4 linked regions of the Elephas maximus indicus genome follow. The protein of the gene in region 3 purifies or fractionates together with the protein of the main gene of each other region. This does not show direct contact. Links are inferred from orthologs where the notes say so. Each region holds a gene or a part of one and is shown on either strand. Other genes may lie near its edges.

Region 1 (6,636 bases), on a different chromosome or scaffold from region 3:
TTTTAAAACCACTTGGAAGGCCACCTCTATTAAAAGTGATTTTTTCCCAGGATAGTATACCAGATGTAACCTAAGCCAACACCACCTTAATTGGCAGAGGACTCAATAAGCTGGACCTACATCCCCCTCCCCCACAGCAAGTTTACACTAAGTTAAAACACAAACTCCACAAGGAAAAACATTTCAGAATTGACTCCTCTCAGTGGAGAAAAACTCAACCTAGTTATGAGACCACAACACAACGAAAAGCTGCACTAACTAGTTCTGGAAATTAGTAACAGGTGATGCTGGTGTGAGTAACTGGTATTATATACTCTAGAGCCCTTATAAATAAAATCCCCCATCAGTGTCTGCATTATCAACTAGAGGATTAGTTAACGTGGTAGAATGAGGACTTATGCAAGGTACAACGCAGCACAGCATCTTACTGTGAAAACAAGTGTAGTCTAGTTAAAGGCAAACCAACTCGACTCTAAATTACACACATCTCAATGACAAGACTTCCCACCACATGTGAATGTAAAACATTTAATTTAAAAATGTTGACACTACAATATATAAAATAGCTATTATAAATGCACATAGTGTATTCTATAGCTGCCAAGTTTACTTTTTTTCTTTTTTCTTAGGAAACTGTAAGTTACACTGTGGTTAAGACTTGTATCTTCACCCTTGAAAAAGCCCACATTCTATCACAGTGATGTATGGTCAGACTTAACAGCCCCAATTGTTAAACACCTGGATCAAGTCATAACCAGTTTTATTGCAAAAGGACCCTGTACACATTTATCAATTCTAGTACCTTAATAGCTACCCAACAAGTCAGTAACATACAGCAACATGCATCATGAGAAGCAGGAAATATCACCCATCCCTTCTGCAGATCAGCAACTTGTCACTCCTGAGCAACAGTGCCCACATCACTGAGGTCTGTCAACAGTCACTTTTCGCATTCATCCTGAGTGAAAGATGGAATGACTTAAGTACAAATGCAACATATTATAAACAATTTCTTACAAAAAAAGTCACAAATTAAACCAAAGTATTTTACAGAATTTACTACAAAACACCATAAAAACTGCCCTTCACTTAAGCTCTCTCCCCCCGTATCCGGCGAGCCAACTGGATGTCTTTGGGCATGATGGTGACTCTCTTGGCGTGGATGGCACACAGATTAGTGTCTTCGAATAACCCCACCAGGTACGCTTCACTAGCCTCCTGTTGAGGACAAAACCACACAGTTAAACCCCGCGGAGAGAACCAAGCACACACAGCCCTTCCCCTGAAGGAAAACCGCCTTTCTGCCTTACCTGCAGGGCGCCGATGGCTGCGCTCTGAAACCTCAAGTCCGTTTTGAAATCCTGGGCGATCTCCCTCACCAACCGCTGGAAAGGCAGCTTCCGGATCAGAAGCTCGGTCGATTTCTGGTAACGGCGGATCTCCCGGAGCGCCACGGTTCCGGGCCTGGAGGGAGCGGAGGGGCGCGTGAACGGACGCCGATGGGCAGCCCCGGCGGAGCCCCGGACAGTTGGCGAACAAAGCCCAGCGGCCGCCAGGCCATTGTTTCCTCCCCGCTCTGCCTACCTGTAACGGTGAGGTTTCTTCACCCCGCCGGTAGAGGGAGCGCTCTTCCTGGCTGCCTTGGTGGCCAGCTGTTTGCGGGGGGCTTTCCCCCCGGTAGACTTGCGGGCAGTCTGCTTGGTCCGGGCCATTTTTCACCTAGAACAGCACCCCCACGGTGAGGCCGCGCGCCCCTCCAGCCCGGCCCCCCTCTCGCTCGCCGCCGGGGGCGCAGGGGGACCGAGCCCGACCCGGGCCCCTGCCGGAGCGAGTGCCGACCTCCGCCGGCCCCGCCCGCGCCCTCGCCCCCCACCTCGCGGCGGCAGATGGCCGGGGAGCCCCCCCTCCCCTAATGACTCAGGCTGCGCGGAGCAGCAGGCTCCCCCGGGAGGGGGGCGCAGGGAGGAGTCACTTCCCCTCCTCGCCAGGCGGAGCCCGAGCGTCCGGAACCAGGCGCCGGAACCTCGGAATCACCACTAGGCCAGGAGCGGAGAAGCGGGACGACCCGGAGCCCCGAGAACAAACCGGCCGGTCCACGCCCGACGCCAGCGGGCAAGCAGCCCCCTCCGCCCGTCACTCGGTTCCCAACGGCCGCGACCCGCGCCATCAACGGCTGGCGGGGCACCCAGTCATGGCACTCCCCGCGAACGCCTACCAAACGCCGAAGTCTTGGGCCGCTTCTCGGACTGCCGCGCCGCTCCTGCTGCCCAAACGAGAGCCGCAGTCGCTAAGCAGAAAGACGACAACCCCCTACCAAACGACCAAACCGCTCTGCGCTCCCAGCCCCCCCGACGCCTCCGCTTTTATACCCACGCTTCACGCTGCGTCTCTGCGTCATAGGCCCCTCATTTGCATACACCAACGACTTTTTCTATTGGCGGGCGCTTTCGCCGGCGCGCTGACATCCCCCGACACAAAGGCCGTGCTTCGGCCCTGTTCCCTGATTGGTAGATATCTGGATCGCTGATTGGCTGTTAAAGTGGCCTGATGATTGGGTAGATGCAAACAGAAAAGGACGAATCAGAGTTTAGCACTAAGAGGCTCCTCTGATTGGATAAAATGGAGCTATGTTTGGATCCTTCCCTTGGTTCCAAAGCTCTACAATAGAAAGTCAATGCAAATGAATTGCATTGGTCCCAAGCAGGACTTAGAGCCTGTTAGGGCCGAGTCTAAGCTTACTGGCATTAAGCTAATGCGATGTAGGAGGATGAGAAGGTATTTTAAAAAAATTTTTTGTAAATATTTTCCAATGTAAAATAAAATGTGTTCCCTGATTATTTACTTTCATAACATTTTTATAGTTAAATTCAAAGTATAAATGATAATTAGAATTCAGTAAATCATATTACGTTATGAAGTATTTTACGTATCACGTATGTGGCACGTAACGACAACAACAACAGATGCATTTTAACCAAAAAGCAGTTATTTTATTGGTGGGGTAATTTTATTGGTGGGGTAAGAGGGGTAAATAATACATGGAAAGAAACGAATGTCAATAATTGAGATTTTTCCTGTTAAAAAAACCAAAACCAAACCTGTTGCTGTCGAGTCAGTTTTGACTCATAACAAAGCTATGTACAACAGAACAGAACACTGCCTGATCCTGCCCCATCCTCACAATCATTGCTACGTTTTAGCCCGTTGTTGCAGCCACTGTATCGATTCGTCTCTTGGAGGTTGAGATCCTTCCTCTTTTTCAATGACTGTCTACTAAGCATGATGTCCTTCTCCAGGGACTGGTCCCTCAAGATAACATGTCCAAAGTAGGTAATACCATGTCCAACGTAGGTAATACAACGTCTTGCCATCCTCCTTTCTGAGGAGCATTCTGGCTGTATTTCTTCCAAGACAGATTTGTCCCTTCTTCTGGCAATCCATGGTATATTCAACATCCTTGGCCAACATCATAATTCAAAGGTATCAATCCTTCTTCAGTCTTCCTTATTCATTGCCCAGCTTTCACATGCATATAAGGCAACTAAAAATACCATGGTTTAGGTCAGCCATACCTTAATCCTCAAAGCGACATCTTTGCTTCTAACACTTCAACGGGGTCTTTTGCAACAGATGTGCCCAATGCAATATGTCCTTTGATTTCTTGACTGCTCCTTCCATGGGTGGTAATTGTGGCTACAAATAAAATAAAATCCATGGGTGGTAATTGTGGATACAGGTAAAATCACTACTTCAGTATTATCTCTGTTTATCGCAATGTTGCTTCTTAGTACAGTTGGGAGAATACTTTTTCTTTCTGTGGAGGTGTAACCCATACTGAGACTGTAGTCTTTGATCTTTATCAGTAAGTGCATCAAGTCCTGTTCGCTTTCAGCAAGTGAGGTTGCGTCATCTGCATGTTGCAAGTTGTTGATAAGTCTTCTTCCAACCCTGTTGCTGCATTCTTCTTCTATAGCCCAGCTTCTTGGATTATTTGCTCAGCATACAGATTAAATAAATATGGTGACAGATTGAATAAATATGGTGAAAGGATACAACTCTGATGCACACCATTCCTGATTTGTAATTGAGTTTACAAATAGTTTTATATGTTTTTAGATTATGTTGCAAAATACCTTGTGATCTTAGTACCCTTGGAGTTAAACAAGGAGTAACCTGCTAAGCAACATACTGTATTTCTCTAATTACATAATTTGACTGAATGAAATTACTGGGCAAAAAAGGGAATAGTCCTACTACAGCATTGACATGCATATAAGGAGTAAATGAGAGATAGGTAAATTAAGTATGTGCCCTTGTTTTTATGGTATGTCTTAGCAGGTATTACTTCTGAAGAAAGATGACAAATGTCTAAAAATGCTAATCCCTATCTTCACCTAAATACATGTCTTGAATGGATTGCAATACTCAGTTCTCCAGATAACTCAGGTATATAAAATACCAAAGTAGATTTAAGGTTAAGAACAGTCAAGCAAAGCCCAGAAAATTGAAATAGAGCCTTGGGCATTCTACTCCATAGATCCTTTTCAGGGTTCACAGATTCTTTTACGTTATTCAAATAAAAAGTAGCAAAACCAGGTGCATAGAGATGTCAGTTTAGAGAATGACTGCGTATTAGTACCTTTAGTACAAATACTTCAATATTTATTTAGCACATCAAAGGTCCCAGTGGCAATAGTGAAAGAAATTTACAACTTGAAAAAGCAGCTATGGCAGAAACAGGGCTTTGAAACTTTCCTTCCAATTTGAACCCCTGCTGAGAATTTGCATTTCTGACAAGTTTTCTGCAGAGAATTTGCATTTCCACCCCCAGATGTACTGAATCAAAATCTACAGCTTAACAAGGTCCGCAGGTGATTCGTATGTATAACCTCCTGGGAACTTGTTAGAAATGCAAATTCTCGTCGGGGGTTGGAACCTGAATGAATCAGTTGGAAGCCCTGGGCAAAAATGCCTTTGGTCCAATCTCTGGTACCTAATTTCTCTCATTTTCACATACCAAAACTTTCATGTGACAATGTAATCAACTTTAATTTCTGCTTTCTGCTCAAAATGTGGGGTAGAGAACAAGAAAAACTTTCTACTTCATTCACAGCCATATCAAGAAGGGAAGCCAAGATGGAGGTTCTCAGAGCCTGTGTAAAGCTAAGACAAGGGAGTTGTTTGCATCTCAAATAGGAAGGAGGCTGTCAAATGCTCTGGGATGTAGCCAGCCATACACCGTCATCCTTCTGTGACTGCTCAAGGACCAGGAGAAAGAATGGGCCCCTAAATTAACATTCCACGGTTTTTTTTGGAGGCCCAGAACCTTGTAATTTCTATGCCTCCAATGGCAGGGACAGTCCAGTTACCTTTCTCCCAGTGTTGGTAATTACTAGAAGGAAACTAAAGCTGCTCTCGGAGAAGCAAGGTGTGAATCTACAATACGATGCCAAGCAGCCATTTAAAGAAATAGTTTGTCCCTCTTACTTGGTAGTCATCGAGGCAGGTTTGTTATTGTTGCATTTCCTAAGTTGGCACAGAGGAGGAAAAACAACATAGTAAATGGGGAAGAACTGGAAATGTCTATATAATCAAAACAATATTGTGTGATGCAGGGGTGTAGATTTCTGTCCTAGTTCCTGTTGTCACTGACTTGCTGAGTAACTTCAAGCAAGTTTCTTAACCTCTCTGGGTTTTTTTTCTTATTTATAAATTAAGTATTTGGATGATATCGTCTCCCAATTCTACCAGTACACACTTATTCTGAAGTTCATGGTCACACGCCGTTCTCATCAAGTCAATTCTGACTCATAGGGACTCTATAGAACAGAGTAGAACTGCCCCATAGGGTTTCCAAGTCTGTAAATCTTTATAGAAGCAGACTGCCACATCTTTCTCCTACAGATTGGCTCGTGGGGTTCTAACTGCCAGCCTGTAAGCTAGCAGCCAAAGCTCTAAACTCATGATATATATGTGTGTATATATACACATATATAATTTAAAATCTAATGTTGTGAACTATTTTTCCTCAGTCAAATCACACTCAGGTATTTTGGGGATAACATATGCTGTGCAGTAAATTACTTCATGTGGCCCTTCTAACCATGCATGGTCTTGTAAATCCCACATAATGATTGGGTGGGACTATGCAAATAAGGTATTTGTGGCCCACCAAGGGGATTGGACAGCCTGCTAAGAATGCAAATAAGGTGCATGGAACCCCTTTGGAGGGGTGGGACCATGCAAATAAGCTGTATGGAACACTAATGAGGGGACTGGTCAGTTTTGCCATCCTGCTGGCTGAAAAAACACCCAAACCCAGAGCAGAAGGGGGACTTCACTATCATCAACAAAGAAGAGCCAGAAGCAGAGCGTATCCTGTGGACCCAGGGTCCCTGTGCTGTGAACCTCCTAGACCCAGGAGAGAGAAAGCTGTAACGCTGGAGATAGCACAAGATGGCAAAAAGCATCATCAGAGAAATGGCAGCAGCAGAACTGGGAGACTGGCAAGAGAAGGCACAGTAGGGTTCCTGGTCCACAGAACAAGGCTGCTGCGGTGGGCATGCCAACCCATGGACCAAGAGAGCTGAGTGCCTTCTGGCAGGGGGCTTCCTGGCAGAGTGGGGTGCCTCTGGG
Region 2 (7,837 bases), on a different chromosome or scaffold from region 3:
CTTGATACGTTAAGAAAAAGACCCAAAGGTTTCCTGACAGAAAACTAACGTGCCAAAGGACAGGGGACTCAGCGTCAGGGTGCGGAAGGTGACAACTCATCCAGATCCTAAAACGCACCCCGAGTGGGGACGCAGGCGTGAGCACACCCAGGGCTCCCGCACCTCAGGGTGGGCTCAAGGGCTCACCGCACAGGCTGCTTCCAGATCGCCAACAGGTGAGGAAACTCAGCACACAGCTGAAGCGTGACCCAGGGCCTGCCCTGCAAGCTGCAAGGAGCCTAAGCTGGGCACTGACCCCGCAGCCAGACTCACTGCAGAGGAGGGAAGAGACTGCAGCTCAGCCAGGGTCCGCTCGACAGTGGGAAACACCCCAAACCTGTGCAGTAAGCCATCAGTCTCCTGTCACAGCAGCACATTCCATTACTGGATAAAACCAAAATCAAACCTGTTGCAGACGAGTCGAGTCCAACTCACAGCAACCCCAGAGGACAGAGCCGAACTGCCCCGTAGCGTTTCCAAGGCTGTAACCTTTAAGGAAGCAAGCTGCCACGTCTTTACCCTAGGGGGTGGCTGGTGGGTTTGAACCACTTAACTTTCGGTTAGCAGCCAAGCCCTTAACCACTGCACCACCAGAGCTCCTCCGTTACTGGATACCTCTCATGAAACCACACCAGGTTATCCAGAAATGAGGGAAACCGCTGTTAAAAAGGAGAGCCACTAAGCCTTTCCTGCAAATGTCACTGGCCATTCAACCCCCTAAGCTGGCACTACCATTCACCTGGTGTGTTCACACACTGTACCTTCTAGCTTGAAGCTTCAGGCGAAATGGAACCCATCAAAAAGGACAAAGTCCCAAAGTCTTCATCCAAGGGGAGAAAGTTTACCCAGGAACACCCACTGGGCAAAGCCAACGGGCACGAAGCTCTCTTCTGCTGGGAAGCCTGCTGCAGATGCATCCAAGGACGCCCAGATCACAGCACAGGGCTGAGAAGTGGCTGGTGCCCCTGCCCCAGGTGGGACACCAGTGGCAAAGGCTCCACAAAAGGGCAGCTCAAGGGCCAGAAGTGTTCTTTTAGCATAAACAGCCTGGCCTAGAGGCAGGGCGTGACTACGGCCAATTGGCTGCCCAAGAGGAACAAAAGGCTGAAGTAGGTGGTCTTACCCCCCACCCAGCACAAGCCCAGCCTTCCAACATTAACATGCAAAAAAACCCTTGTGCAAAAGTAGGTGGTCTTACCCCCCACCCAGCGCAAGCCCAGCCTTCAAACATTAACATGCAAAAAAAACCCTATGCAGAGAAGGACCTTTAAGAATATGGATTTCTTGACTCAGCACCCCAAGACTCTGCTTTGCTGGGTGGGGTCTACGCCCGCAGCTGCATTCTTCACAGACACTTAGACAGGTCTGTGGTCACATTTGGAGAAAGGATTATTTTGAGGGAACAGGGAGCTGGTTAGGGGCCAAACCAATAAAAAGGCAGGGTACAAGAAGGTGAATACACACCCGGAGGGCAACCTGGACGTTGCCTCCAGAGCTCCCGCCCCTCTAGGCACCCACAGGCCTTTGATCCCAGTGAGCCTGACACCTAAGGCAGAGCCTCCCAAACTTGAGCGCTTTCCTAGACTCTGGTAAAACACAGGTTCCTGGGCTCCATCCAGACGTGGGAACTCAGAGGCCACCTATTTCTCTGTGCACACGCCCAGGTGAGCTCAGGCAGCCCGTCCTGCAGCAGTCGTGGCAGGAACAGCTCTCTGCTACCTCAGCTCTTGGACATACTTCTGCTCCCCACTTACCTGTCTGCCTTCCTTAGGGGCCAAGCTCAGAGGCAAGGTCTAGTGCAGTACCGCCCGATTCAAAGCTTTAAAACGTTTGTTGACGAGAATTGGAGCCCTGGTGGCGCAGTGGTTAAGAGCTCAGACTGCTAACCACAAGGCGAGCAGCTCGAATCCACCAGCCACTCCTTGGAAACCCTATGGGGCAGTTCTACCATGTCCTATAGGGTCGTTATGAGTTGGCATCAACTGGACAGCAACATTTCTTTAAGAGAATTGGTGAAAAGACCTGGGTGGGTAAAGGCTTGCACAGCAAAGGTGGTTAAGGGGTATCTTTTAAAATATCCCCAAATGGCTTTCAAAGACCAGACCAGGCGTGGTCTGAGGTTCCACCACAGGAGGGCCGGTGGCTTCTCCCTTCCTGAGGGTGGACTCACACCACAGTGACCCCAACCCGGGGCTCTAGGCTCTTAGGCGAGACGGGGTCTGGCAGCTCAGGAGTAACCAGCAGGGGCAGGGTGGGTGGAAAACAGGGGTCATGTCTACAGAAGAGGGGAGCTCAACCCTGTCTGCATTCAGCCAGTGTCTGCGTGGACCACATGTGGGACAGACCGGCCTGGGGTCTCTCTGAAGAAATGCAGGGGAAGGGGGCGATGTGCACGCTGGCTGGGGGTTGGGAGGGGCGTCCCAACCCCTGGGGCTTTGGTCTTGTCATGTGACCGCTGCGGAGAGAGAAGTTCCGGGGAGACTGGGACATGGGCCGGGGAGGGGCACCTGCAATCAATGGGGGTGTGGGGGGTACCCCTGGGATGGGGGGCAGGACACCCAGGGCGGGGCCGCCAGATGGGGCAACGGGGACGGGCGGGGAGCCTGAGCCGGGAGGAGGGCGAAGGGGGCACCGGCTGGGGGCTGGGGGCTGGGGAGGCGCGGAAGGTGGCCCTCACGGAGGGCGTCTGCACGAGGAGGGCCCGGGCCCGCCGGCGGCGGTTTGGGGTCCGCGGGAAGGAGCTGCCACGGGGGCCGAGGCCCGGGGCGCCGGCCTGGCGGGGAACACGTGCGGCGGCCGGAGACGGTTTGGGGGCGAAGCCGGGTCGCGCCCACCCACCCCGCTGCGGCCCGCGGGCCGGCGCTTACCTCTGGGCCGCAGCGGCGGGGCCGGGAGCCGGGCGTCGCGTCGGCCGCCACCTGGGCGGCAGCGCGGGCCAAGCTCGACGAGGCGGCAGGTCCGGCGGGCGCCAAGCGGCGTGGGGGGGGCCCCTGCCAGTGCGCGTGCGCGAGGAGAGGGGGCGGTGCCCCGGAGGCGGGGCCAACGCACAAAGCTGGCCTCTCTGAGGAGCGCTACGGAGAGCGGCAAGGGGCAGAAGGCCTCGGCCAGCCGAACGCCTTAAAGGGGCCGGGCGCTGCGCTCGCTTCCTGATCCAAAGCGTTCAACTCCAGAAGTTGGCTGGTGCGGGCCCGCCTCTCCCGCACTTTTTAAAGATTTTTTTTAGTGTAATATACATACAGGGATGTACTATTGTATCCCTTGAATTTTGTGAGCAGCCCTGCAGCCGACACCCACATCCTGGGACAGGGCGTTCCCCGGGGATTCTGAGGAGGGGAAGTTGCCCAACGTTTCTCCTCGGAATCGGTGGCCCGGTTGGGGCATCAATTCTTCATTAACGCTCACACCACTGGTCGCAGCAGTTGGCTGTGACAGCATCTGCAGCTAGCCCGCGCAACGCCTCAGTGAACCCTCACACATCAGGCGGACAGGTGCGCACGCCTTCCGCTTACAAGACCTGGGGCTCAGTCCCCGGACTCCGCCCGAGGGGCTGAGAGTCCTTCCAGCGCCAGCTCTTCCCCAAGCTCACCACACCTTCTTCCCTCCCAGCGTTGTGTGATGAATACAATGCTCGTAATTACTGCATGCAAACTGGTTTCACAGCCCCTCCCTGGTGGGGCCCCCAGGCAGGTGTTCACCTCCATCACAGACGGGCAGGTGAGGCTCAGAGAGGAGTGAGGGGCAGGAGGAGAACCTGGGGTCCAGTGTTCTGCTCCATCCACGAGCAGCCGCAGCCCACTGCCCCACTTCTGCAAACCACATGGGCCTTAGACTCTTGGAGGTGGCCCTGGCTCCTGCAGCTCCACCGCCCCTGCCCAGGTCTGTGGGTAGAGTGGCAGACAAACTCTTATTTTCCAATTAATAGGACAAGGTACCTGAGCAAACAAAGGGACCATGCATTAGAAGTGGAACCAACCGCCCACGGAAGGTGAGATGTGTGGCTGTCATGGATAACGACAGCTGAAGAGTGGCAGCCAATCTGGAGCCCTCTCCCAGAGAGGACACAGGGTGGCAAGGCCATAGTTCACGTGGATCTGTGTGTCCAGCAGGCCCGGTCACCCTTGGTCCAGGTGCCTTGGAGCCAAATGCCGGGATGCTCCAATGTTAACAAAACCAGCTAAGAGGTGAAGATGGGCATCTCCAGCCACCTGGTGGCCTAAGATGGGCATCTCCAGCCACCTGGTGGCCTGGACGGACACCTGAGCCCACCCTGGATTCCCCCCCATACCTCTCAGTCCTCAGGTCCACCCACTCCTCTCCATGCCAGCCTCATCATCTCAGAGTGACCACTATGCTACCCTTCCCAAACCTCTACACAGCACGCCATAGGAAAACTCCAGCTCTGGTCTGTCTCTCCCCAGTCTAAGGTTTAGAAATAGCTTCCCAGGGCCCTCAGATCAAAAGCCAAACTCTGTTGACGGTTTACCAGACCCTCCCTCTCCCTCCAGCCTAGTGCCACCCCCAAACTGTGCACCCCAGGTTCCAGCCCCAGATAGAAATTACTTCCAGTCCCCAGCCCTCCTGGCAGAGTGGGATGAGGGTCCTGACCCCAGAAGTCACAGAACTCAAATCTGTTAACTCAGTTTCCCAACTTCCACTCCCAGGTAAATGGGCCTGGCCCCGCCCTCCCCCAGGAGGTAGAACCTTCTGGTGAAAAAGAAAATCCTCCCTGCAGAGCTGAAATCCGGAAACCGGATAGCCAGCAGGAAAAGCCGCTTAACAAAAACAAGTAATTTGCTTTATTATCTGTTTTAAACCCCTTTATATCCTTCCCAAAAATTTGTCACGCTCAGAAAAATCAGTAGTGGAAGCCGAAGAGAGTGTGAACTAAAGAAAAGGGGAAACCATGCTCGAGTGGTTTTTTCCAGAATACTAACTGCTTGGGCCACCGGGGTGAATTGGTGAAGGAAACTGTTTCCAAGAACAAATTTTTACAGCCAACATTTCTAGAAAGCTGCTCCTTACCCCCATGCAAGGGGTGGTGTGAGCCAGCCTGGGCACCTCCCTCTCCAGGTCCCTCCACCAGGCTCCCCTTCTCCTCATGACACCCCCTCCAGCCAACGTCCCCTGGGGCCTCCTCCCCTGATCCCCAAACCTGGTGAGTGACCCTGGCTGTGTTTGCATCGCTCCCAGTTCCTCCCCAGTAGAAACCCTCATCTCTTCATAGAAATCCTGGTCTAAAGTCTCCTGGTGCCATCTGAGCTGGTGGGAGTGGGAGGAAGACAGGAAGGAGGAGGGGGAGGAGCAGTGGGAGAAAGGGGGAAGGGAGGGGGAGGGAGGGGAGAAGGGGGAGGGAGGGGGAGGAGCAGTTGGAGAAAGGGGGAGGGAGGGGGAGGAGCAGTGGGAGAACAGGAGGGGGGAGGAGCAGTGGGAGAAAGGGGGGAGGGAGGGGACGAGCAGTGGGAGAAAGGGGGAGGAGAGGAGCAGTGGGAGAAAGGGAGGGAGGGGAGGAGCAGTGGGAGAAGAGGAGGGAGGGGAGGAGCAGTGGGAGAAAGGGGGAGGGAGGGGAGGAGCAGTGGGAGAAGGGGGAGGGAGGGGGAGGAGCAGTGGGAGAAAGGGGAGGGAAGGGGGGCAGTGGGATAACAGGGAGAGAGGGGGAGGAGCAGTGGGAAAGGGGGAGGGAGGAGAGGAGCAGTGGGAGAAGAGGAGGGAGGGGAGGAGGAGGGAGAAGGAGGGGGAAAGGGAGGGGAGGAGGGATGACTTGACATGCACTGAGAACTTGGGTGCTCCTTCCTCTATTAAGTTTGTTACACTTGTTACCTCCTTGTACCCTCTCAACAGCCCTGTGAAGTGGGTGCCTACATTATCCCCTTTTCACAATGAGGAAACTGAGGCTCAGAGAGGCTGGGAAACCACCCAGGGACCCCCAGTCAGTAGCAGATACTCAAGCTCAGGACTGGCTGTAGGCACAGCCTGCGCCCTGACCCCTAGACTTGTAAACAGTGCACGATCAATGACGCTTATTTGGTGAATGAGTGAAACGCCCATGTTGTAGGCCTTCAAAGAAGACAGCAACCCCATGAACTCCAGCGCTTAGAGGAGGTCTATAGAGGCCGCAGATCTAAAATATAATAACATTACGTTCTCACACGGCTTCAAGCTTCCGAAAAACCATGTTTTATCGTCTAGTGAGAAACATTTTATCAGGAAAAGTGGCCTTCAGGACGTTGGCTGAGGAGGGGGCTGGTTGCATTGGGGTGGAACACTGCAATGCTCACACCAGGGCTGCAGGCAGCAGTGAAGCTCCAGCCCCTTAACGGCTGAGCCCAGAGCTTTGGGGGCAGCAGATTCCCACAGCAGTTGATGAGAGGATCCTAGAACCTGAGGGACACGAGGATGCTCAGGAGCCAGGGTTTCCAGGAGCTGCTCCCAGGATCCCACAGCCTGACTTTATCCCGAACCCCGCAGGCTCCTGCCAGCCCAGGTCAGAGGGTTCCTGTTAAGCCCTTTTCCCTCATAAAGATGCTAGGCAAATGGTTTAGGGGACTTATGCCACTATTCTCCTTGCTAGGGCTTCTTTCTTCCCACCCCAGTACCCTCCACCCCAGCCCTGGATCCATCAGGACAGCCAGCCTTCGGCCACAGCCTTGTCCTGAGCCAAGTGGGTACCTATCACCCCTGGTGTCCAGCATCCTCTCTTCCTCACCTGGCACCCGTTTCCCAGTTACAGAATAGGCTGGACCCATCTTGTTCTTGACATTGTGGGTTTCCCCCTTGTGCCAAGTTCTCTCCTTCCTTGGTTCACCCAGGCACGTGCCCCCCCCCCGTCTCCTTCCCTCAGGCTTCCTTTCCCTACATCACATCCCCTCCCATTGTAACCCCTGGGTGACTGACCGTCTAGTTTGCCCAGCACCATCCCAGTTCTAGCGCTGAAAGTCCCTGTCCCTGGCACCCCTCGGTCCCAGGTAAACCAGGGTGGGGGCCAACAGGCCGCTCTTACTCGTCCTTCTCCTGGGCTGTCCTGTCCTCAAGGAGCCCCAGGCCCTCCCCTGTGCCTCTGCACCTTCCCCATCCTGCCAGCGGGCTGGCCCTCGAAGGGTCCACTTACCCATGTATCCCCCCACCCGTGGACCGTGTCCACCACTAAACCAGGAGGGGCAAGAGGAGGCCCAGAGGGGAACAAGTCCCTGCTAGGAGCACCCAGCAATCAATGAATTCCACTGACCCCGACATCCAAAAACAACAATAATCTTTAAGTAGGCAGGTCACCAGGCCTTTCTTCCATGGTGTTGCTGGGTTGGGTGGGTTCAAACCACCAACCTTCAAGTTAGTAATGAGCGCAAGCCACTTGTACCATCCAGTGACAAGGACTTCAAATACAGTCTCCCTAAATCGCCAGAGATGGCTGTGCTCACTAAAGCCCCATAGAGTACGTGTGTCATCAAATCTTTGATTTCTCTTCTGTGGGCCTTTTACAAAGATAATTGATCGAGGTGAAATTCACATAACAAAAAGTTAGTCATTTTATTACTGGTCTGACAGAGACTAGAGAAACCCCAGAAGAATGGCCCCCAGACACCCTTTTAATTCAGTACTGAAGTCATTCCTGTGGTTCACCCTTCAGCCAAAGATTAGACAGGCCCCTAAAACAAATAATAATACAACGAGCTCAAGTATGCATACGAAACTCAATGGGCACAGCAGGCCAGGGACAAGGACGTGAAGGCAGGAAGGGACAGGAAAGCTGGAAACGGGGAAGCCAAGACTGAGAAGGGGAGAGTGTTGGCATGTCTTGGGGCTG
Region 3 (7,264 bases):
TGCTGGCAGAGTACCTTTTTCCTCTCCAAAGGAACAGTTTCTAAAGTTTTCTGGGGGGAAAAAAAAAACTTACATCAAATTTAAACCATATGTTAAACTGCATATTAGTTGTGTTACACCAAAAAAACTGTCTCAGCTGAACTACACAAGCTTCAAAGTCATTAATGCCTGATCTAAATTTACTTGACATAAATTTATTTTAAACAAACGTAATTATCATTTATTTAAAAGCTTTCTGGGGAGAAAAAAGTAAATATTCTGCGGTTCTTGAATGGTTATTAAAAGACTACCAAACTTTTACACAATCCTATGTCCAAGACATAAAACTTTGCTTTTAAGTAATAAGTAAACACTTTCAAAAAAATTCAAAAATAACTCTGGCTCTTTACAACCCGTGGTTGACTACGTATTTCAGAATTCAGTATCTGAAAAGTGCCATAATTAAATTATTTTCCCTTAACTGCCCCCTCTGGTGGTAGTTTTAATGAATCTCATCCAAGAAAACTCCAAAAAAAATACGGATTTCCCCCATATGCCCCCTGCGGGGCATTAAAGGTTTAAGATAGGTACAAAAATAAGCTCTCTTGAGCAAGGCAGGTTGATTTTATAACCAAAGTCTTCTACAACTTAAAAAAAAAAAATCGAATGCAGTTTTTTTTGGGGGGGGGAGGCTCTTGTATTTTGTATTTAAATGACAGTACAGAAACAATCTGGACCACTCTGCTAACCACAAAAAAATGTATTCACCTTATATATTAATATTTTTATTTAGCATAAGCATCTCACATTAAAAAACCCAACAAGAACGCTTAAATGCACTTAGAAATAATTCTGATGATTGCACAAGTTGAAAGTAACGTCTGAACTATACAATTAAAATGTTTAATAACTAATGTTTCGTTATATACATTCTACCACAATAAACAAAAATGTTTAAACCACCACCATAATTACTTGGTTTTTACTTATTACCACATTTACCAATAACACATTTGACTGGCTTATTTAAAAAAAAAAGCTCGGGCATACGGATTTTAATGTTCATCTGGCAAACTAGGGCATAAAACAATGTCTTAAATTTTACAAGTTGAAAAGAAAAAAATCTGAGCTGAAATTTTTAACACCTGCAAACATGCTACATTAAGAGCCCCTTTATCTGGGGTAATCATGGTCGTTAAACCTGCCTTACAGGTAGGTAACTTGTTAATTTTGAAAAAATATTCATAAACCAGGAAAATAGATTATATATCCAGGACAAACTACTGTGAAAGTGTAACAGACTAAAAGGTCAAATATATTTTCAAATACAGGAAGTGTTTTATTCCCAACAAGTATTACTGCTTTCAACCAATTCGATGGAAGTTCCTTAACGCAGACGATATTCTCCCGACTGCTCAAGAGAATACAGTAGAAGCCAATTCAGTCAGGGACTCCCCCTCCCCCAATATGGTTAAGTGTTTTCTGGGTTCTGAAAATGAAAAATAGAATTAACTTAAATTACCAAACTAAGCCCTTGAGCTACTGAAACAACAACACGCTGTCAGAACGGGTAACTATTTTGGATTCTCAAACTAATTTTTTTTATTCTATACCTTGTCACTAAAAACATCTCTTTAAACCCAAATCAATCACGGACATTTAATGCAAAAGCACATCCACAATCCTTAAAAACCAGTAACAAACGGCAAAAACGCATTACTTACCTCGGTCTGTTCCAAACTTACCCGATGTCCACTATCGATTATAAACAAGGTTATTTTATAAACGTGCTTTAGGGTCAAAGAAAATAATCAGGTAGACCCCCTTCGCTTGAGACCTTACGCTTAATCAATGCAATGACCAACCATGATTGCAAACAGAAATAAGAACAGCAAATAACAAAGTTCAAACACATAGCGACCTAGGCCCGAGACAGTTTTGGGCATAGCACTACAACGCATTACAATTTCGAGCCAGGATACAACTAATAAGTCATTTTTATTTCACTTTGCTCTGAACTTTTGGCTTGTCGTTCATGAAGATCCGCATGTTCACCCAGCAAACATCGAATTTTCACATAATTGCTATTCTGAATATGAATAAATCCTACAACTTATATATTAGTCCTTAGAATAATAAAAGATTCTGGAAAGAATATTCTCCCCCACATAATAATCTTCCCCACTGCCACCTCGTTCGTAATCGATACTAATCTAATGGCTCTAAATTTTGATATTTCCAAGTTTTCTGCGGTTAAACGGTCTTTTTTTAATCACTGCAAACCCAGAAAAATCCGTTATTAAAAGAAACACAAGCTGGAAAACATGAAACGGTTTCTTGGTAATATGGCTTGCCTAAAGGCCAGGCCCAAGGCCCAAGGCCCTCGGCTGTTACACCTTCCCTCTCTCGCGCGGTACCAACTGGCCCAGCCGAGCCTCCTCCCCACCCCCCACTCTTCTCTGTGGCTTCTGAACGCAATGGCGCCATTTCATCGAGGGGAAGGAAGAGCGCCTTTAACGAGGTGCGCAGGACTTAAAAGATCCGAGCTCACAAAACACACGAAATTCACCTCGAAACGACGTGGAAACAGCCCGAGAAGAGAGAGAAACAGTTAACTACTTCTATTCGGCAACAAAGTGATCACAGTAGTAGAATTTAAAGAGCAAAAACAAAAACGCTGCGAGGAAGGAGAGAAATGAAAATGGCGGCCGCCAAATCCGGTTCCCGGGAGAGAGGGGGAGGGGAAGCTCCGCAAACTCACGAGGGCCCCAAGCCCTCCGAAACGCTAGGACGCTGAGGCCCCTAAGTTGGCGTTTTTAAAAAGGGAATAGGAACTCCCGCCTCTGCACCCCACTTTCACTAAAGTGGGACTGCGTCCGCCATGTGAAAGTTCCCCATCCCCCAAACCAGTAAAAGGAAATGGCGCCGGGAGGCCGAGGGCGGTGGTGTACAAGCAGGCCTCCGCTAAGATCCCCCACATAAATGTCACAAGATCAACCGCCCCGGGAGCGGTCCGACTTCACTGCCGCTCTCCCACGGAGGCGGGTGGTCAACTTCCATTGAGGCGCCAACGGCCTCACCATGCCCTCTCCAGTAACTCATTGATTTCAAACCCGTTACCTCCATCGCGGACTCAGTCGCTTCAGCCCGATTTCCCGCAGCCGAGCGAGATGAGAGAGATCTCCGCGGACGAACACGAACCGGACTCGTCCTGGCGCTGTTGTGAGAGCTGCCGCTGCTCGAGAAACAACACCGCTAGGAGGACCTCCGCACGGGACCCGGCGCTGCTGCTACTGCCGCTAGAGCCGCTGCCGCCGCTTTTCTAGAACCTTCCCTCCGACTAACGCGTCCTCCCTTACGTCAGCTCGTTGCGTAAACGCCCTAACCGCCGCCAATGGCGGGAACGCTCTGCTCCCGCCTTACGCCAAACACGTACCCCTCCCCCTGCTTGCGGCTAGCGGTGGTGCTTGACGTTACTAGCGTAAATGGGACTCAGTGAATTGCGGAAGGCTCGAGTCTTGCGTATCTCCCTCGGAGTCGGGTCCAGCCCCCGCCTTAGCGCAGGGCAGGTGAGAAACGGTCGCGCAGTTTGAAATTAGCGCTGTCGGGAGCAGCTCAGTCAGCTGCCCGAAGAAGTAAAACCTGCCGCTGCACCTTTGATAATGCCCGTGGGTTCTCCCACCATAAAAAATACTGGTAGCCTTCCTCCCTTCGTTTTCCTCTTCAACTCCCTCCCCCCCTGTGCAGGACTGACTCGGCCCCTTCCGGAAACACCCGAAGCGATTTCTAGTCAACAAATTACTGGCCAACGTCCTTGGGGCCGGCCCCTAGAATTTGGTACTTTTTTTTTTGTTTTTTGTTTTTTAGGAAGGTCCTCCGGGAGGTACACTTCTCTTAGCTTCCAATTGTCCTTTCACCCCCAAGTTTTTCTCCACCTCCCTCCAAAGGAGGCAACCACTCCCAGGGGCGAGGAAGTGGGCGGAGTCCGGTTTTGGCGCCAGCCGCCGCGCTGCGGAGCAGAAAAGCCTCCGCGGAAAAGACTCCGACCACCGTCCCCGCCCCTCCTCCTCCCTCCCCTCTGGGGATCACCAGGCGCCAAGCCGCGAACGGTAGGTGCCGCAGTCACCGCCCCCTTCCCTGCCTCCCTTCCAACCTCCCACGGTCCAGGGCTCCCGACGGGCGCGGCCCCTCCCCGGCCGGGCGCGCGCGCCCTCCCGCCCCGCCCCTCGCCGCCCAGCGTGGGCGGTGCGTTTCTCCCCTCCCCCTCCCCGGCCCAGGCGGAGGCCCAGCGCGCAGCTCCCCAGCCCCCTCCTCTTCGGATGTGGCTTGAGCTGTAGGCGCGCAGGGCCGGAGACGCCGCAGACCCGGGACGTGGAGCAGCTCGGAGGCGGTGAAGTCGGTGTCTTTCTTTCTCTCTAGCTTTCACTGGGTGGTGGTGCTTCAGATGCTACATGCGCCCCAGGGACCCCCCCCTCCCAGTTCCCAGCTCCTGGATCCCGCCCTTCCCCGCCGGACCCAGAGTCGGGATCTGGCGGGAAGGTGTGGAGGGCAGGTGGAGGCCCGAGGCGAGCCGCGCTCAGGGCCGGCGTCTGTAGTTTGCTGAGGGTAGAGAGGTGTGGCGACAGCCGCTTTTTTTCTAGACAAAGCGCCTTTCTTCCCCTCCTCCCTCATCCACGTTCAAGAAGAGGGACCCTCCCCCGCCCGCATCTCCGGCCTGGGCGGCGAGTTGGGCCTCCCGGGAGGGCGGCGCATTTTCCCGCATCCGCGGGGCCTGGCACTGCACGCGGCCCGCTGTCCAGAGACGGCGGCGGACGCTCCGTTACGTGGCCGCCGCCCAGGTGCGGGGCCGGTGGCGCAGTGCCCTTGAACCCCGGCGCCGCGGCCTTTGTTTCTCCCCGCGGATGCGCTGACCACGAGGCCGCGCTCTCGGTGGGGGGCGGGCGCTTAGGCCTTTGCACACCCCAATCCATTTCGGAGGGTCCTGGGGCCAAGGGGAGATCGGGTGAATATGCAAGAGGTGATTTGTTTTTAAAAGTGTCATGAAATGGGAATGAGGCTTCACGGTGTGTTTTCCCTTTAGTTTTTTTTAACGAGTAATTGGGAAGAGGGGTGGTTTCTGAGAAGAAGTCAAGTTAGGGTTGTATAGGAAACTCTTTGGACTGTTAAGAGGTCTAGAGGAAAAATTCAGTATAGCTTACCGGTGTGGTTGGTTGGCTAATTTTCTCTCACTTTGAACAAAAAGGTTTGCCTTTGAATAAAAAAAAAAAACAGAGCTAAACATAGAATTTGGTGTAACTGGGATTTAGAGTGGAAAAAATATTTCTCCTGTTTTTTGCACCATGTAAAGCTCAGTCTCAGGTGCAGATGTCCCTCCCTTCCCCCACTTGGATAAAAGTGATATATTACTTTAAGGCATATATCATTAATAATTCACGCAGGAGCTTAAATCCGCTTCTCTATGGATTTCTATCCATGTTTGATATGTGCGCTACCGACGTGGGGGTTGGAATCCAAGCAAAACTTGTGTTTAGCTACCTTTTTTTGTGTCATGCAAACTTCCTTTTAACTGTCATGCATTTTTCTAGTAATAGCTCTTCAAGTCTGCAATAAAAAATGGCCTCCAATAAAACTACATTGGTAAGTTAATGAAAACCTAAATACATAAGGATCTAACTCAAGCTTTTTTCCCAAAAATTATAACTTTGCATCTCTGTGGTTGGAGAAATTTACATTCATATATTCCCCACACACCCCAGGCCCCCAGTATTATTATGGGGAGAATTAGGGGCAGAAAATTACATAGAGATTCTTACTGACTTGCCTTAATACTTCTAATTCAATTAAATAAACCTAATCTCTTGTCTAGTTCTCAAGAGTTTAGAAGGACAGTACAGTATGAATTTTGCCCAGTACTTTTTTCTTGCGATAATAAAATACAGAAAATTATGGAACATGGAAAAATATGTTAAAAGGATAGGCCGTTGAAACAGTAAAGCCACTGTTGATTGGTATAATAAACCACTGTACCTGAATTCTGGAGAAACCAAGTATTTTCAGTAATATTCAGTTTAAAGAACCAGATATCTCGTGCACCTAGTTTGGGGCAAATGTTGTTCAGTTTTTCAGATTACTCTGGTCACTTTGTCATATTTCAATTTTGTTTAAAACGCATGAGGACCTTTACATTATTGCGGTGGTTGTTTTTTAATATACAAAAAGAACCAAATCACTATGTGTGTGAGAGAGAGAATACTAAATCTGCTGGATCTTTTGAGCAGTTAAATTTTTTCTCTCCAGCCACAGCATCTTAAACCCAAAGTTGACGTATTTTAGGTTTGATTAAAAGTTTAACAAATGTGTAAAGGCATGTAGAGTCAGCCATATCAAACTATAAATCAAAAAAAAAACTGGAATGTTCACATAAAAATCACGAAATTCAAAGTTATGGTTCCCACAGTATTTAATTCTAACACATTGCATTAATAGTAATCATAAGCATGTAAAGGTGAGTGTTAACATCTAAGTAAAGGGAAACATTTGGTTTTGATCTGCATTCATTCCTTGGTTTCTACACTAAAAAGGGCAAATTGGTTATTTTGAATTTGTGCCATTGTTAGATTGCACATTTAAGTCAAAATACACTAGGACAGATTGAAATATAAGGCCTATCTGGTGAGTCCCTGGCATGAATGATTTCCATATATAGTTCAAAATCATTAGTGGAGAAAGCATCTTCTGTGTCCCCTCAGGATTGGAGCTGGCCTTCAAATTCCATTATCAGTCAACCAAAATGTAGGTACTAGAATTGGGTTACAGTCAACTTTATCCTTCATCAAATAAGTATTGGGTAGGAAAGGAATTAGCTGTCCATGAGGCAGAAAGTTCTGAGGATGAATATACATACAGAAAACACACACTTGCTCCCATTAAAATTAAATTGCTTTTGCACAGTTTGGTAGTCTTGGTGTTTGTAATTTATTTGTGTATAAATATTTTTTTGTAAATGATCACAAATTGAGCAATTGTAATGTGTGTGTGTTTGGTTTTTTTTTTTTTTAATATGTGAGAGATGTGAGCTATTTTTGAAATGGGAAACTGAGTTTTATATAGTAGGAAGTGCATTTTGCCTCCAAAATCCACTTTGTGCTGGAAAAATAAATCTGGCTTAAACCAAATAAATACTTCTATTTTAAAAGAAGGGCATTTGAAACTAGCTTATGTATCCCAAGATAATAAATATAATATAGCCCCCCCCCCCTTTTTTTTTAAGTGTGGGTCCTTTTCT
Region 4 (7,822 bases), on a different chromosome or scaffold from region 3:
GGATCTTACCAGGAAGAATCACTTTCTTAAAGGCTTCTCCCCAGCAATCCCCATGTCACCCCTCCAGTCAGCCACAGTTCCATTCTTTCCCTTTGCCACCTGCGTAAACGCAGGAAGTGAAGACAGGGCAAATCCATAAAAGCAAAGGAGACACCTTTCCATGTACATACGACCCCCAAACTTTTCAGGCAGATAATGAGCTGACGTGGCAAATAGCAAACTGGCTAAGATATAGAGGCAGATTTGGGAAAGGGGCAGGAATTGGGTGTGGCAAGTGGAAAAACTGGGTCATGCTACAGCTTGGGGCAGAGTTCACCCAGGGAGTCTGCACATCTCCCAGTCAACACGGGTCAGCCCCACACCAAGGGGCCACTGGGAGGCCAAAATGTGGAACCAACAATAGCTCAACAGCACTAACTCTCATGCCCCTCACAGAAAGGACAAGATCATCTACCACCATCACCAACTCACAACCCTCCTTGGGCAATAGCGCAGAAATCTGCCACCCTACCCTACACAGTGATGAGACTCAAGCCTAAGTTTTCTATCCCAACAGCTGAAGACTCAGTAACATGAGAAGAGGACACCAAGACTGACTCCTCTCCTAAGTGGCCTCAGGTTAAAGAGAAGGCTTCCAACTTAGAAAATGCCAAATGTGGCAGCATCTCTCCCAGACCACCTCAACTTCCGGCTGGAGCTAAAAGAGGGAAGGCAGAAGTGAAAGACATTTGATGGGAAACAAAAGCAAGACCAGTTTGCTCCAGAATAAGGAGAAAAATATAAGCAGGAAAGATTTAAAAAATGGCACGTAGAAAAAACAAAGCTAGAAAAAAAAGATCAAGACAACAAATAGGTGACTTAACTAGGAGCTCTGAACAAGAAAAGACAGATGAGAGAGACATCTGCTTAGGAGCATGACATCAATCATCATTTGATGATAGACAAGGGCTACTCCAATCAGGCATGGTGGTTATAACCACACGAGTTTGGCCAGTCCAAGGAAGCACCTTAAAACACTGATAGCACAACCCTTAACACCTTCACAAATACTACATACCACTATCTCAAACCCCAGGCGACAGGCACAGAGTTCTGCCTCAGAGCTTCTGTGGAAAAAGCCAAGATTATGTCCACTCACCAGGGGAGGAGGAGTGCCCAGCATGTCACCTCCCTTCTTCAGCCTCTCCTAGTACAACCTTGAGGCTATTACATGCTCCTCTAGCCCCTATATCTCCACTCAAAACATTCCAGCAATCTGCCTGGCTAAAAGCACTCTAGATCCCGGCTGAGGAGCGCAATTCAAACTTCACACAGTTGAAACATAGAAAACCGGTAACTGATCAGAAGCTAAAAATAATCAGATAGCGTAAAAAGCTCTTTCCTTCCTTTCCGCAGTAGCAACTACAGTATTCTACTAACACAGATGCCTAGCCGGGGTCCTCAAACAGAATCCCTCGACACCCCATCCCAATAGCCTCCAGGAGTCCCAGCTACCCGCACTCCTCCAAGGACCCACATATGGTAATGCCTGCCAGTCAAGAGCGCTCCCTCATCTGGGAACTGAGGAGCATTCCTCCAGAACAGTGCGGCAAGCAGGCATCTCAGTCCAGGTGCCCAGAGGCACATGGCTTCCACCCGCCTCACACAAGAGCTCTGCAAAAGAGAACCACTCCCTTCGGATGCCCTCCACCTGAGACTGCAGAGAGAGACAAGAAACTCAACCCTGCCTTACCAGAATCACTAGGGAGGACCCAAATGCCTCCTTCCTGCCCTGGGTCCTGGGGGAAGATGTTACCTGGGTGGGGTGGGGGCAGGCTGTTGTTCAAAAGTGCATCCATATCCTCCTCCTCACTGCCCGCTGAGCAAGGGGACGGGGAGCCCAGGCCCGACGCCATCCCCTTCCGCTCTTGGCCAGGGAATTGGCCCAGCTGCTCCTGCCTGCGGCCTGGGGCCCTCTACACTGGCCCGAGTCACTGTGCGGGGGAGGGGGGAGAGAAAGAGAACAGTCAGTGACGCGCAGTCCCCCTCCCCCACACCCACCCGCTCTTTCCGCCCACCACTACCACCGGCCCCCCCCCCCCCCACCCAGCCACCCTAGCAGGGCACCCGAACCACTCGGGCTGAACTTAGTTCCACACTCTTCGGGGGCAGCCCGGAAGCCAGCTCCCCAACAGGAGCCCCTAGATGAGAAGGAGCGACACCCCTGAGGGCAGGCTGGTGCAGCCGTGGGGAGGACAGAAGCCGGCTGGACTGAGCAGGGTGTGACGGGGTGGGCGGTGGGGGGCGTCCGAGTGGCCGCGGCGCGGGGGGGGGGGGCGGTGGTAAGGGCAGGAGAGGAGGCGGGCGGTGAGGCGCTCGGGGACACAAGGTCACTTGGGGGTGGGGGGGCGCCTCCCTGCGCCCGGGGAGGGGCCAGTCCCCAGACAGGGCAGCTCTCCAAAGACTGTCCTCTGGGACAACTCAGGTTCTCCTCAAGAGCCGCGAGAACGAGGGGGCGTGGAGGTTCGGGCGCTCCGGGGGTCCAGGGGCAGGGACTAGGTGCAAGGGAGCCCCCATCGGGAAGGGGGCAGGGCCACGTGTCCCGGGGGGCAAGAGAGCAAAGGGCGAGGGGGCGGGCGCCGGGCATTGTGGGAGACTAAGCCCGGGGTAGGGGGCGCGGGGAGCAAGACTCAGGCCTGGTTAGGGTAGAGAAGGGAGGGTGCTGGGCACCCTGCAGGGAAGGGAGAAGAAGGATTGGCTCCTCCGGACAGAGGGCAGTTCGCGGGTCTGGGGACGCCTGAGGAAGGAGTGGGTGAAGGAACGACCCTCCGGGCTTGTCGAGCTGTGAGGGGCGTCTCTCAGGGAACCCCGCGCTCTCCTCACCCCGGAGCCTTCGCAGGTCGCGCAGAGGCTGGCCCGGTGTCACTCCCGCTCCGGCTCCTCCTCGCCGCGGCCGAAGGGGGGAAAATGGCTCCGGCTCCAGCGTCGCCTCTTAAAGGGCCCGAAACACCGGCCGGGAAATCCCACCGCACAGGCCCCGCCCCCCCGCGGACAGCCCATAATAACCTCAACCAACTCCAACCCCCCCTTCCACTACCTCCAGCCTCCTCCCTAGGTCTCCCGGGCAACCCCCGCCCCCTCGTCGCTCAGGCAACCATTGGCCACGCCCCTTCGAGCGCGCGCGCGTGTCACCCGGGCAACCGCCCACCTCCTGGCCATCCCATAATACACACGGACACCCCCCCACACACACACACACCCCTACACACACTCCATACACGTATATGTCAGAACTGCTGACATCCCATAATATTGCAGACCTTTGCCACTAACCCTTTGCAGCATCCCATAATAGCCATCCTTCTGCCAACTTCTTCACTCTTCGCCCTAATGCTCACATCCCATAATAATTCATCACCCCTCCCTTCCCATGGCCATCCCATAATAAGCACCCCACACAGCACACCAGCCTCACATCCCATAATACTCATCCCATCCCCCCAGACATCCCATAATAACCACTCTTCATCCACCCCCAGTTTGATATCCCATAATAGTCAGAAACTCATCCCCCCACTGCAACAACGGACACTTGGCCTCCTCCCACACACACCCCGTAATAATCAGTCTCCCACTTTCCATACTGACATCCTGTAATAACTAACCCCCTGGAGCTGCCCTCGGTCCCTGCAGGCTAGGGTCTAGATGCACACACCACCCCCAGGCTTCACATTTTCATTCTAGCTCCTCAGCCCATAAGGACCACCCCTTCCCTATCAAAAAGATAGCCTATAATAGACCAGCAGTCCTACTGCTACCCCACAGATGGACACCTAATCACCCTTTCCCTTAACCCTGGAAATATATCCCATAATAATTTTACTTCCCCACCCACACCCTGACATCCCTTAATAATTGCAAGGGAGCCATGGTCAACCGGACATCATAATACTCTCAGCACAACCCAGGGTCACATCCCATATCGCTTCATCTCCACCCCACCACCCTTATATAGTACTGTTCCAGCCAGGCATCCCATGATATTCATATACCTCCCCATCTCCAAATGCTGTAAGCCTAATCTATTAACACCCAGAGCAGGCAGGGCAGGCAGGCTACCCACACTGCCTTGTCCCCGCCCCCACTCATACACAGCTTCAACCCTTTCTGGGCCACCCACACTGCCTTGTCCCCGCCCCCACTCATACACAGCTTCAACCCTTTCTGGGCCAAAGCAAGTACCCTGGCATAAAGCCTCTTAACCTGTAAGACCGTAGCTTCCATCATCCCATAATTTCCAGACACTCAGGAGTTGAGAGCTAACCTAGGGCCCCACCCAATCACACTAAATCCAGGAGTTCTCCAGATGTTCATCTCCTGCCATTAAGTTTTGAGTAACCCGAACCCATTGCAGTCTAGTACATTCCAACTCATAGTTTTGAGTAAGACCAACCAAATACCATGCCGGCCAGATGAACAATTTATATGAAGTTTAATTCACCCCAGAGCATCCCATAATAATCACAAATTTCCATCCAAAGACTACTTCTCACCATTCCAGCAGTCCTCTCCCCCATCGCCTAGCCTCCAGCTCAGGGACCATTCTTCAACACCCCTGGGCCACTCCCATAGATGGGCATCCCATTCTGATGTGAACTGAGAGCCCTTCAGTATATATATACACAAAGAGCCAGGACCTGATCTCCCTCTACTTACTATTCACTACTACTCACATTCATTCAGCAGATGTTGACAGAGTACCTAGCAAGGCACAGAGCTAGGCAACATGGGGAATGCAAAGACCATGGTGCCTCCCTTAAAGAAGCATATGCAACTAAACAAACTGTGATAGAAAATAGAAATGTCTGGTGCCAAGGGAGAACAACTGAATGCTATTTCCTAATTTCCTGTTACAGAGAATAAAGCAAAGCCCAACTGGTTTCAGGACAGATCATATCCTAGTAGAGGTTTTTGGTGGTCCTTCTAGAGGTATTTTAAAATACCTAGATATTCTAAAAGGGTTTACAGTATAGACGGATGGTCAAGATTATCTAACCCCTACGTACTAAGGGACTTTGATAGGAAGGCAATGTTCATTCACTCAGCATTCCTAATAATGAAATCCTATAATTTTATCATGTGCTTCCTTCTTGAGAGGCTCATCAACAGGCCAGAATCATTATCCTCATTCTTCAACATTAAAATTCCTGCTTACCCTCAATGTCATTTTTTAACTCCTTGCTCATTTTATATCTCGAAGTCTCATAACACAATTGCCCAAATCTCCATCTTATTGAGGCCCCATTCTCCACCAAAAAAACACCATAGTTGCATGATGTTCACTATTTGCCCCTTCCCACATACAATTTCTACATACCTACTGACAGGACTAACTAACAGGATGCCTTCCTAATTCAATTATGCCACAAGGTAAAAAAAAAAAACATTGCCACCGCCGGGAGTCTAACTCATAGCGACCCTATAGGACAGAGTAGAAGTGTCCCATGGGGTTTCCAAGGAGCAACTGGTGGATTCAAACTGCTGACCTTTTGGTTAGCAGCCAAGCTCTTAACCACTGTGCCACCAGGCTCCCAATATATATTATCCTTTTTCCCTAACCATGCCTACCTTCCAGCCACCCTGGGGACCCAGTCCTAAGAAAGCCAGGAGATCCCAATCTTAAAGCCCTTTGGTCCTCAGAGAATCTGAGCCCACAAGCCTGTCACTTTTCCCTCTTCCTGGCCCCCGGAGAAGCAGGACCTGAGTGAGAACAATATTCCAGCATCACTGCTTCACTGTCTCTCTTCCTCAAGCCAGAGATGATGTCTACTTCTGCTTCCATCTGCCTTTTTCACACAGGGCAAGACATATGGAGGTGGGGCAGGGTGAAGAGAAACAGGAACTCCCTCCTAAGAGGGGCCCTTCCTTACCTCACTCCATATCTTCATTGTCCTAAGGTCATTTCCCTAGAGAAAGGGCCCGACCAGATGGTTCTCCCCTCCTCTGGGAACTAAAGGACTGGGAGAAGTGGCAAGGAGAAATGAATTCAGGTGCAGAGAGAGCTTGTTTCTCCAGGAATTTACAATCCCAGGCAGAGCACCAGTGATGCTAAGTCTTTCCACCAGCTGCTGCCTAATGGTATAATCACTAGCATTCTATGTTTAACTCTTTTCTCATTTTAGGACTGAAGTTTTCAACATCAAAGACCTCAGGTCTTGCCAAGGACTCTCACGGCTACCTTTGCATTTCATATATTCTTTTTCCAATATTTGCTCCAATTCTCTGGACCACCTTTTTGCCACACTCATGTGGCGTGATGGCCATTTTCCCCACTCTGCTAGGCTGTCTGTAGTTTTCCTCATTACATTTTCTTTACTTCAGGATTAAGCCCCATTCATTTGTCCAAACCCTCCCCTGTGCTTATTCCAAGTACTGAGAATGAACTTTGCATTGCTCCCAGAGGGGAGAGGGGCAGCTCTTTTAAGATGCCATAATGTGAGCACACCTCCCTTCAAGTTTTCTCCTTCGTACACAGAGTGGCCAAATACCTATTATGCCCTCCTTATCCACATTTCCCTAGGGGATTCAGCCTGTCTCTGGGCCTCAAATTCCTTTCTGTAATATCTCCATCTGCCCCACGCTTTTTTCCTCTCATACATATATACCACATTACCACAGTGATTCGTAATATAAATCAGTAAGCAACTTTTACAACTGAGTACGCACAGCCTATTGTCCGTGATTAAAAATACTGGTGCCCTTTGCCCACCACAATCCCTCTTTCCCTAATCCTGCAGCTTCTACCCACTTATTCCCTTTCTTCCCTATCTTTTCACATCTTTCTGATACCACTAGGAGAAAGTTTAAATTCTTTCCTCTCTTCTTGAGTTCCAACAAGGGCTACAACATGTGTACTTATGTGTTGCTCTTGTGGTCTTTATGCCCCTCCCTCCCTACCCAGGTCCCATGCTACCTGTCTAGATAAATTATAAATAAACCACTAGTGTGATTGGCCCACAGAGACCACTGTGGGATAATCTCCTGATTAATGCACCCAGGGGGACAGCCTCTCTAGTCGGTTACCTTAGAGTTCTGTTTCCACCCCGTGGTACAGAAGAACCTAGAATAACACTCAGAGTGAGTTGTCCGTTAAGTTTTCAGCGTACGCTCTCTATTTCCTCTCCCTACACCTCTAGTCTGTGTGAAACCAAGAAACTCTGCTCAGGTCTAAGGTACTCTGCTGCTCCATCAGGAAAGGCAGTTTGGAAAAACAGCGTAGGGGAAAAGAAGCCACAGTGACAGTGCACTCTGACGGCAAGACAGAATGCAGGTTGTGTGGACTTGAAGGGTGGCAGGTGAGGCATTAGTCCTTCAGGAGCCAACCCATGTCTCTGTTCCTTGGGTCTGACTGCACACAAAAATAAAGTTTCCCATGTGCAACCCTCCTATGTGAGCCATGGTCCCAAGGCTCAAACCCAGGAAGGCAAAGAAGAGGAGTACTTGGGTATTGTGGTCATCCAGGAACCTGCCTCCTTTTCGTGGTATGCCTCATAGCCAGAACCCAGGAGTCCTCACTTCCAGCCCAGCACTGCAGGCTCAGGAATCAGCAGTCTTGCTGCCCTAAAGCTGTGAGTGTACCCAGTTGTCCAGGGTTCAGATTCAGCTAGCTTGAGCCTGCCTCAGAGGGCCCTTCGAACAGCTGTCACAGAAGAAACCTCTCCAGCCAGTTACTCCTGTCAGGCCTCAGGTCTGGCTCCAGGGCTCACCCCACCCTCCCCAGCTCCTTCCCTCCCTCTTCCTTCCTTTCTTTCCCCATCCCCCCCCCCTCCCCAGAGCTTTACCT

What was found.
Region 1: the proteins of CBX3 (region 3) and histone H3.3A purify together in Homo sapiens (affinity purification with mass spectrometry; 3 studies listed by BioGRID). This does not show direct contact. The link is inferred for Elephas maximus indicus from reciprocal best matches to the Homo sapiens genes CBX3 and H3-3A.
Region 2: the proteins of CBX3 (region 3) and WDR5 purify together in Homo sapiens (affinity purification with mass spectrometry; 3 studies listed by BioGRID and IntAct, with this or other methods). This does not show direct contact. The link is inferred for Elephas maximus indicus from reciprocal best matches to the Homo sapiens genes CBX3 and WDR5.
Region 4: the proteins of CBX3 (region 3) and CHD4 purify together in Homo sapiens (affinity purification with mass spectrometry; 6 studies listed by BioGRID and IntAct, with this or other methods). This does not show direct contact. The link is inferred for Elephas maximus indicus from reciprocal best matches to the Homo sapiens genes CBX3 and CHD4.

Annotation. Positions count from the first base shown.
Region 1 is NC_064837.1:66,035,656-66,042,291, forward strand, and holds histone H3.3A, read right to left. Parts: upstream 2,338-6,636; 5' UTR 2,216-2,337; intron 1,720-2,215; 5' UTR 1,713-1,719; coding exon 1,585-1,712; intron 1,465-1,584; coding exon 1,311-1,464; intron 1,219-1,310; coding exon 1,090-1,218; 3' UTR 515-1,089; downstream 1-514. UniProt on the Homo sapiens protein: Variant histone H3 which replaces conventional H3 in a wide range of nucleosomes in active genes. Constitutes the predominant form of histone H3 in non-dividing cells and is incorporated into chromatin independently of DNA synthesis.
Region 2 is NC_064827.1:4,452,779-4,460,615, forward strand, and holds the start of WDR5 (WD repeat-containing protein 5), read right to left. Parts: upstream 3,019-7,837; 5' UTR 2,907-3,018; intron 1-2,906.
Region 3 is NC_064826.1:87,352,097-87,359,360, forward strand, and holds the start of CBX3 (chromobox protein homolog 3), read left to right. Parts: upstream 1-4,247; 5' UTR 4,248-4,374; intron 4,375-5,564; 5' UTR 5,565-5,592; coding exon 5,593-5,616; intron 5,617-7,264. Other genes in the region: HNRNPA2B1 (heterogeneous nuclear ribonucleoproteins A2/B1), read right to left, coding at 15-50, 3,100-3,105.
Region 4 is NC_064822.1:63,380,745-63,388,566, forward strand, and holds the start of CHD4 (chromodomain-helicase-DNA-binding protein 4), read right to left. Parts: upstream 3,006-7,822; 5' UTR 2,863-3,005; intron 1,974-2,862; 5' UTR 1,896-1,973; coding exon 1,796-1,895; intron 1-1,795. UniProt on the Homo sapiens protein: ATP-dependent chromatin-remodeling factor that binds and distorts nucleosomal DNA. Acts as a component of the histone deacetylase NuRD complex which participates in the remodeling of chromatin.